Linked DNA regions of Caenorhabditis elegans. The protein of the gene in region 1 interacts with the protein of each later gene in a biochemical or structural test. Each region holds a gene or a part of one and is shown on either strand. Other genes may lie near its edges.

Region 1 (5,147 bases):
GCGGAACAACGTGTAAATGCGTATTAGGATCTTAAGTTTTTGGAAACGCAGCAAGTTAGTGTTTTTTGGTTAGTTTCCAACGTTTCACAAAACAGTACACTTTGTTTTAAATGATTATGAAATATCACTTTATATATCATTTCAATTTGGCGGGGAAAGGGGAGAGGCATCACACAACACAACTAGTGCATCAAAATCAATAATAACCATAAAACAAGGAAAACATTTGGGGTGGGCGGTAAATTGGAGAAAAAAGTCATTTTCATTGAGAATTTGAATATAAATATGAGGTTCAGTAAAGGCGGAAAATTATTCTACTCCTTGGTAATGTGAAGGGTCCATTGCCAGTCAAGATACACATTGTTGTCATCGTCGGTAATTTTCGAGTACACCTTGTACTTTCCACGATGCATCATTCCAGACGGAGCTTCTTCGTTTGGTGATTTGTACTCCTGAATCTCAAGTTTTGGCGCGTAGCTTCCCATCATGTACTTCTCATTCTCCACAGTGATACCGGATCGTTTCACCTTATGTTTGTAGCTGAAACAATTTATTATTTTAAGTTAAGATTAAACACACAAAAAAACTAACTGCAATCCGGACGTAATTTCGCGTTGCACATGGAAAGCAAAGCTTAACCGGTAATTGGAACCTTCTTTGATGGAAACAGACAAGTCAGAGTTGACAAGTTTTGCTGGATCCGATAAGTCAAATGATTGCGCAGTTTTACCATTAATGAGCAGCTCGACGGATCGGACAATCACGCGGAGTGGGTTCTTCTCGTCGACAATGACTGTTCCTTGGCCGAGAAGTTTGGCTTTGTACACTTTTAGAGACTCGTCCTCCTGTAAAAATTTCATACTAAAATGTGATTGTCATTGGATTTTTATAAAAGTTTATTAGGGTTAATAGAGACCAAAATTGTGGCACATTAGGAAAATTCACAAAATGCCCTTTTTCTCATTGTTATGTTGAAGTTTTTCGCTCGGAAATTTGTATAGAAATGTAACAAATAGGGGTGGCTATAGGTCGACCTAGGTCGACCTGCGACCTAGAGGGTTAGGTCGCATCGCGACCTAGGTCGCATTGCGACCTGCGACCTAGCGACCTAGGTCGCATTGCGACCTGAATTACCGACATTTTGTTCTCTTTCGGTTTTGATTCACTTGAGTTGTTAAAATCCGTATAACTCGAAAACTAAAGATTGCAGAATATGTGTATTCCACTAACATTTTCTCTATTAAGATTTTATAAGTTTATGCGTAGTTTTTTTTCAAAAGTACGGAACAAAGAATTCATTTCTACAAATAAAACCATGCATTTCAGCAAATTGTTTCAAAAAGTTCACGTTTTTGTGGTTTTTGTTGTTTCTAAAATTTCATTTTCCACTTTTCGAATTAAAAACGTAGAAAAAAGCAGAAAATCCGGCGGATGTCGGCTGTTCTAACTTTTTTCGACAAGGTGTCTTATGGATAAGAAATCGAAAACAATGTAAAATAAATGATTTGTAGCAATTTGTTAGTATAAAAAATGTCAGTACTTCAGGTCGCAAAGCGACCTAGGTCGCTAGGTCGCAGGTCGCGATGCGACCCAGGTCGCGATGCGACCCAGGTCGCTAGGTCGCAGGTCGTAAAGCGACCTAGGTCGCTAGGTCGCAGGTCGCAATGCGACCTAGGTCGCTAGGTCGCAAGTCGCAATGCGACCCAGGTCGCTAGGTCGCAGGTCGCAATGCGACCTAGGTCGCGATGCGACCTAAATGAAAACAGCGACCTAGCGACCTAGGTCGCACTCTTGCCACCCCTAGTAACGAATATATGCATTTTCCAAAAATAACTCTCCTTTGTATGAAAAGTTTTGGGAAAGTGTTCAAAAACTATCTCAAGGAGGAATATACAGATTATGAGACAGTTTTTGAGAAACTTATCAAAGCTATCGTTGTTTTTGGAAAATACACATATTTCTATATACATTCTCAAAAGAAAACTTTGACACAACAATCAGAAAGAGGTGATATTAGTGTTGTGCCGATAACATTTTAACGGCAGTTCTTTCTACTAATAACAAGTTTCAGGTAGTTTTCAACATCTTGTTAAGTTTTTCTACAAAAGTAAATTTCATTTTCAAAGAAATAAAATATTTTCTATATTTCAGCATTTACTTAAAAATATTAGATTGTCATACCAAAACGAGTTTGCCGGGGTGAATTGCCGCCCGTTGCACTACCTTTTGATTCTATTTTACAATTATCAAACCTAAAACTCGCAGAACACTGTAGCCTGAATGCAAGGATTTTGTGTTTTGAACGTAGCTTGGCTCGGCTTTCTTTGTTTCAATTAACTACTTTTTATTAATAGATCGAAGGCCAAAGCTGTCTTGTGATCAGATTCATCAATCCACATCCATTAGCAATTTCGCAAAATGTTCAATTTTTTTTGTTAAAAATAAATTTAACAAACCTTGTCAGCATTGAGAAGCTCGTCGATGCTCTTTTGTGGTGGTTGCTTGTACTGATATTCGGAGGTGTTTTCACCAGTGTTCTCGTGGTCAGACATAATTCCGCTGAAAAATGGGGGGTAAGCGCTGTCAGAAAAAAGAAGAAGGGAAAGAACCAGAATATTCGAAAACCCAAGAATCGAAGAATTGCAATTATGAACGACTTAAAGAAATGCGAATAAAAATGCGGCCAAAAATGAGTGCCTACGACAAAAACGATTCTGAGGGCAAAGACTCGAACGGTCGAAACCAAAATCTTGCGACAAAAAGAGAAAACGTCCAAAAAAAATAATGGGGCAAATGGGCAACTGGAAAAATACCGGAAAAGAAATTTCATAATCAAACCGAACAACCTCGTTCGAGACAAGAAGAATTAGACAAACACACGGAGAGGAGGGCGAAATGGTTGAACAATGTCAATTTGTTATCTATCCCACCGTCTTTTTCTACTCCTGTGTGGTTTTTCGTCTCCGCCTACTTTTTCTCTTCTTCTTCAAGACAAATTGTTGGTAAAACAGATTTGTGAAGCTTTCTTCTGATGCGATTTCTTTTTTTTTTTTTGCTGGCGTCGCCTATATCATTTGTTTCCATGTACAAGATGGAAAAATCCAATTTCTGGATATATGGGAAAAATACTAAAATGATGCTAAAATCACTAAAAAATTAAAATAAAACTATTCAAAATAATTTGGAAATTTTTTTTATTTCGAATCAAAAACCAGTGAAAACTCAGTTCTCACCAATTTTTTGAATGTCGTTTCTGATTTGAACAGTTCTATTTTTCAGAAAGTGGCAAAAACTTATGCCACTTTTTGACTGACCTTTTTGACCCTTTAAGCATATGCGTATTGTCGAAAATTGACGAAAGAAAACAAAAAAACAAGTTGCCTTAAATCAGTCATTGTAGAAACATATGACATACTGGAGGAGCCAAAAATTCAAGTGATGAGAAGTAGAACAAATGCAACGTCAAGCAAAATAGTCTTCCCTTATCAATTGATTCGTTACTCTGGGAATTTAACAAATGACTCATCATGTTGCTTGCCCAAGAACAAGAAAGGAAGTCGTGCTGCTGAGTAATCGAAAACATTAGAAATTAAACAGAATGATAAATTTCAAACTTTAAATGAACAATTGATAGATTGAAGAGCGAGTTAAAGAAATAACGCATATCATGTCAAGTATTAGGAATCTTCTCGCCCACTAAGAGAGAGAGTCACAAACAACAGACAAATAAATACAGTTCGAGTATGGGTGGATAGTGAAATGAGAGAGAAAAAAGTAGAGTGAGTGACACAAATGAAACACACTCACACTCACACACACACATAAACTTGTGTGTGTGTGTGTGTGCGTGGAAAAATGTTTGTGGAAAACCGAATCGTCGAGGGAGTGGCGCAAGGAAATCGCTGATGGTGGGCGATGATGGTGGTGGAGGAGGACGAGAAGGTAAAAATGTCAAAATCGGGCATTCTAGGGCACCGCTGTGCACTGATTGCGAGGAGCAAGTGAAGCAAAAGCAGTGCGAGAAAATACAGTTCTCGTTTGTTTAAAGTATTTGAACGCGGTTAGTTTTTGGCTGGGAAAGAGAGAGAGAGAGAGAGAAAATCAAAAAGCCTAAGAATTGGACTAATTCAAAAACGTAAAATTGGAAGTGTTGTGAATTTTAACACAGATATAGTGTGGCACAAAATAATTATATTTTCGAAAATTAAAACTTTAAAACAATTCAGTTCCACACCTAAACAAGTTATTTCCACACCTCGGAAATAAAATTGAGGTGGTTACTAATGGGAAACAAATATTTGAAGATCTCTAATGTTATTAGGAACATATATTTGCCAGTAACTTTTCAATTAAGAAAATGCAATGTTTAAGGCCACCCAACCATTGTACCACTGAAAGTCGAAAAAAGAACATTATTTTGGGGAGAGCAAAAAGTTTGTTCAACCGAGAGGAATAATTTATAATCTACAAAAAGAACCTGGAGAACTTTTGAATGCATGTAACTGCATGAAACAAATGAAACAAATAATTTCTAAACGTTTTGCAAAAAGACAACAAATGAAATTGTTTCCAAATTATTTCTGTTCTTAGGGATGGTGTGTTGACAATGGGGAAACTCTCAGGAAATGTAGGTAATAGTTCAATATTTTAACAAATATGAGAAGAAAACTGGAAGCTTCTATCAATAGTGCAAAAAAAAAACTATACAGAAAGTTTTCCAAACACGAAGAGCACAATTACAAAAAAACACAAAGTTGTACAAAATTCAAATTCAGTCTGTTCAGAAAATTTCGTCGATTATGGTGGCAAATTTTTCAATGCTGACGAATTTTGCCAATTTTGCCAAAAAATCGTTCCTGTTTCAATTAAACCTATCAAGATAAATCATTTGAGCACACAAGTTCCTGATAAAACTTATTTCTGGTGCGTCCAAAAAATCATTTCAACAATTTCAATTTTTTATGGAACAAGATCACTGCTTTGATGATCGCTCGGAAAAACTAACTAACTGAAAGCTTGGAAAATAGGCGGCTCGGGTGCACATAGTCCAAGGTGTCATATTGCACCGAGAAAATTATTCTAGAATAGAAACTGGGCAGCCAGCGCACAGAAACAATAAAAATCTGAGCAACTAAAATTTGGTTTTG
Region 2 (4,373 bases), on another chromosome or scaffold:
ACGCCCAGATTTTGGACAATTTTCTGGAAAAAAATCGAGAAATTTTCGGCTGAAATTGAGCTTTTTCAGTGGAAATTTGGCCGATTTTCGGTTAAAAAAAATAGTAATTTTCAGCCGATTTGGAGCATTTCTTTGAACGGAAATCGGCGAGTTTTTTGCCTAAAAATGCTCAGTTTTTGCCAATTTTTACTCCCTAAAAACCGGTAATTTCACAGCAAAATTCATCGATAAAACAAAAAAAATCCAGATGATATATGTATATATATAGTTAAAATTGTTGTAGTTTCTGCGATTGTTTGCTCCAATTTCCCCATCTTAGAGCACCGTACACTTGCTCTTTTTGGCTCTTTGTGGCGGCGTGAGCACGGCTCGGATCGCCTCATCGAAAACTTGTTTCAGACCACGTTGCGTGAGCGCCGAGCACTCCAGATACTTGACAGCCTTGATTTCCTTTGCCATCACGTAGCCCTGGGTTTGGCTCACTGGTTGGAGCCGGCGTTCGCGGAGCCTGCAAAAAAAATTTTTTTTTTCGGAATTTTTGCAAGTTTTCTCGATTTTAAGCCAATTTTGTTTAATGTGCTTTTTTTCAAAATTTCAAACTTTTGTCCACAATTTATGCGAATTTAGTGCAACTTTTTACATTTCTTTAGCGATTTATCTTAATTTTAATTTTTTTTTCAACATTTTGAGCAAATTTCTCAAAATCTTGCAAATTTTTTTCCAAAATTTTATGTGAATGTTGTGCTATTTTACGCAACTTTTCATACAATTTTTGCAATTTTTTTTCCTGAAATTGATGCGTTTTTTCCTTATTTCTCATTTTTTTGCCGTTTCTAATGATTTTTCTAATGTTTTGGCGGTATTCCTTCAATTTTTAAGTGATTTTCTGAATTTTTATGCGCTTTTTCGAATTTTTTGGCAATTTTTCATCATTTTCTACAAATTTTTCACTTTATTCCTCAATTTTTCTCTCAAATTCTCCAAAAATCTACCGTTCAACAGTATCTCGATCCTCACGCAGATCAGCTTTCGTTCCAACCAAAATAATCGGCGTATTCGGGCAATGATGTGACACTTCTGGATACCATTTCGCACGAACATTCTCAAAACTCGCCGGATTGTTCAGGGCAAAGCATACGAGAAACACGTCTGTTTGTGGATATGACAGTGGTCGGAGTCTGCAAATTTTTTTGGTGTTGAAAAATTGATAATTGGGGTAATTTTTAGTGCAAAGTGCGAAAAATTCCATGTTTTTCGAGTTTTTCACCACAAAATAGCTTCAAAATCACTGTCATTTTATGAAAAATTGGATGAAATTTTCTAAAATGTGATATTTTCCACATTTTGATTGAGGAAAATATCACATAATCCTGAGCAATTTTTTATTGAAAAAACCCATAATCCTGAGTTTTTTCGAGCATTTTCAGTTTTCCCGCTGCCCGTACCGATCGTAATCTTCCTGTCCAGCTGTATCCCAGAGCCCGAGATTTATCGGCCGACCGTCGACCATCACATTTGCTGAGTAGTTGTCGAATACCTGGAAAAAATTTGAATTTATGGGAAAAAAGCATTTTTTTGGGAAAAAGAAGACACCTTTCATATTTTTTGCGGGAAATTGTGCGCTTTTCAAAATTTTCAATTTTTTTGTTGCAAAAAGCCTACAATTTTATTGCATTTTTAAAAGTTTTTTGAATCAAAATTTTCTAGATTTTCCGTTTAAAAAAACTGAAGTTTTTTGAAATTTTCGACATTTTTTTTTCAAATAAAAATACCAATTTTTATATGAAATTTCACCATTTTCCCAGCTTTTGGTATAAAAAATATTAATTTATTGATTTTTATGGGAACAAGTTGACAATTTTCATATTTTTCAGCAAAATTTCGCTAAAAATGTGTTTCTTAAAACGATTTTTGCAGAAAACTTTTTTATCGCATTTTGAAAAGTTTTTTGTCTAGATTTTCCGTAAAAAACGGAAGTTTTAATTTTCATACTTTTCAGTGAAATTTCACTTATTTTTTTGATTAAAAAAATGTACTTTTTAAAACGATTTTTAGCAAAAAAAATTTAATTTAAATTATTTTTTATTTAAATGTTTTATAAATCAAAATGTTCACGATTTTCAGTATTGATAATTTCACTATTTTTCCCAGTTTTTGGCCTAAAAAAATATTTATTTCAATGATTTTTGGATCAAAATACAACAATTTTGAATATTTTTTGCCTAAATTTCTTTGTTTTTTTTTTTCGATTTTGTGTCAAAATGTCCTATTTTCTGAGCCAAAAAACGTAATTTTATCTCAATTTTTGCTTTAAAAATGACTCACCGTCGGAATATATTCTCCGGGAAATGCGTTTGTGGTGTAGGATATCAGGAGACACGTTTTACCGACGGCTCCGTCACCAACGACGACACATTTGATCGCTTGCATTTGTGGGGAGCTCCGCGAGCACAAGCACAAAAAGCTGGAAAAATTGGCTTAAAAATAGCAACAAAAAAAATCTATCAAAAATATTGAAAAACCGCCAAAAATCACGGTATTTTGAGCGAAAAAATCAGAAAAAAATGGGGGGAAAAATCACATTTAAATTAAAATTTTTGTACAAAAAATAAATGAACAAAAAACCTGAAAAAGTCATCGAATTTCGAGAGAAAAGCGAGCTTTTCCCCCGGGAAAAATGGGGAAATGGGTGCAAAATTGGATATTTTAAATGGGGAAAAATCTAGAAAATTGTGTCTATAAAACGGAAAAAAAGAGAGAGAGAGAGAGAACAAACCAAATCACAACGGGCATCAAGACGGAGAGAAAGGGAGTATTAGAGAAAAATGGCGGCAATGGGAGAAATTTTGAAATGAGAAGATGGAAAAATGAGTGAAAACCGTAATTTTTTTGACAAAAAAGTCACTGAAATTCGTCGTAATTTACATGTTTCGGCTGGAAAATCGTCAAAAAAAGAAAGCTTTTTTCGAGGTAATTTTCAATAGAAGCTCCATCATTTTTAACGGGAATTATTGAAATTTACAATTTTCGGCTGAAATTAGAAGATTTAAGTGAATTTTTAACGGAAAAACATGTAAAAAACTTGAAAAATCACGGAAAAGCACCGAAATTTTGATGTTAAACAATTTTTCATCAGGAAAATAAATGAAATATGGAATTTTTAGCTAAAATCGTTTTAAAAAAATGCATTTTTCTCGATTTCTCAGCAATAATTTTAAGTTTTTCGTCAGAAAATCGCTGAAATTCCCACTTTTTATTGAAAAAAGTATTTTTCATCCAAAAATCGAGAATTTTATCGAATTTTTAGCATTTTTATGGACAATTTTTCACGATTTTCCAGTTTTGGTCAAAAAATTAGCAATTTTTTCTCAAAAATTTCCACGATTTTCAATCCAAATTTTATTTAAATTTTAAATAGGAAGACCAGCAGTTCGTCGACATTTCTGCATTGTTGCTCGGTAGATAAATTGCTCTCGGGACACGTCACGAACATGGCGGAGGTATTCGGCAAGTGTTATTTGGCGTTTTTTCAGTGATTGACCTGAAATTTTGAAGATTAGGCAAAAAAAAAATTTCTCATAAATACCATAATTTTTTTTCGTTTTTTTTTTTGCTGGATTTCGGAAAAATTTTTACACCGAAAATTTGCTGAAATTCCAATTTTCAGTCATTTTCAATAATTTTTCTATCAAATTTCCGCAAAAAAAAAACACTTTTGCTAAAATAAAACCGAAACTGATTTTTGAACGATTTCAACAAAATTTTGGAGTAAAAATGGCTGAAAATTGTTCAGAAACTTCCAATTTTTTGTAGTTTTTGTGAATTTTCTAGAATTTAAAGTCAATTTTAACTAATTTCTGTTTTTTTTCGGGGGTTTTTGAATGATTTGTAGTAGTGCTAATAGACGAAATCGTTGAAAAATTTCAGAAAAACGCTTTTAATTTGGCTTCAAATCTCTCAGAAACTTCGAAAAATCTCAACTTTAATTTAATTTTTTTGAAACATTTTCACTAGTTTTTCTTAATTTTCAACTTCTGCATTTTTTGAAAACAATTTTTGCACATTTTCCTCAGGATTGAGCAATTCCAGCTAGATTTTTCCAATTTTTCCCAACTTTTCGTTCCATACCAAGTGAATAAATGACGTCATCACATGTCAAATCTTTCGCATAATTGAGCACAATTTGTCGGTGCAACGGAAAAGCGGCATCAATTGCCTCATCAATTGGTGGAGCATCAGTGCCTCCAGCGTCTGAAAGAGCTTTCGCGAGCTCTGCTTTCTTTGCCGTATAGATTTCACAGGCGGTCTGAAGGCTGCTCCGTTGAGTTTCGAGCTCTTCGAGCATTCTTTTCAGCTTTTGCTGTCCTTCACGA

Evidence for each region. Proteins that work in one complex are often made in the same cells at the same time.
Region 2: of the proteins of rhi-1 (region 1) and ced-10, one has a biochemical effect on the other in vitro, tested with the Caenorhabditis elegans proteins (one study listed by BioGRID).

The regions. Positions count from the first base shown.
Region 1 is NC_003284.9:4,505,921-4,511,067, reverse strand, and holds rhi-1 (putative rho GDP-dissociation inhibitor), read right to left. Parts: upstream 2,560-5,147; 5' UTR 2,553-2,559; coding exon 2,457-2,552; intron 846-2,456; coding exon 592-845; intron 541-591; coding exon 315-540; 3' UTR 123-314; downstream 1-122. UniProt on the Caenorhabditis elegans protein: Regulates the GDP/GTP exchange reaction of the Rho proteins by inhibiting the dissociation of GDP from them, and the subsequent binding of GTP to them.
Region 2 is NC_003282.8:3,507,064-3,511,436, forward strand, and holds the start of ced-10 (Ras-related protein ced-10), read right to left. Parts: upstream 2,465-4,373; 5' UTR 2,431-2,464; coding exon 2,326-2,430; intron 2,046-2,325; exon of another isoform or gene 1,896-2,045; intron 1,538-1,895; coding exon 1,446-1,537; intron 1,179-1,445; coding exon 993-1,178; intron 509-992; coding exon 316-508; 3' UTR 1-315. Other genes in the region: tsg-101 (Tumor susceptibility gene 101 protein), read right to left, coding at 3,411-3,541, 4,129-4,373. UniProt on the Caenorhabditis elegans protein: Required in engulfing to control the phagocytosis of apoptotic cell corpses. Required in embryonic development for the correct positioning and orientation of the mitotic spindles and division planes in blastomere cells.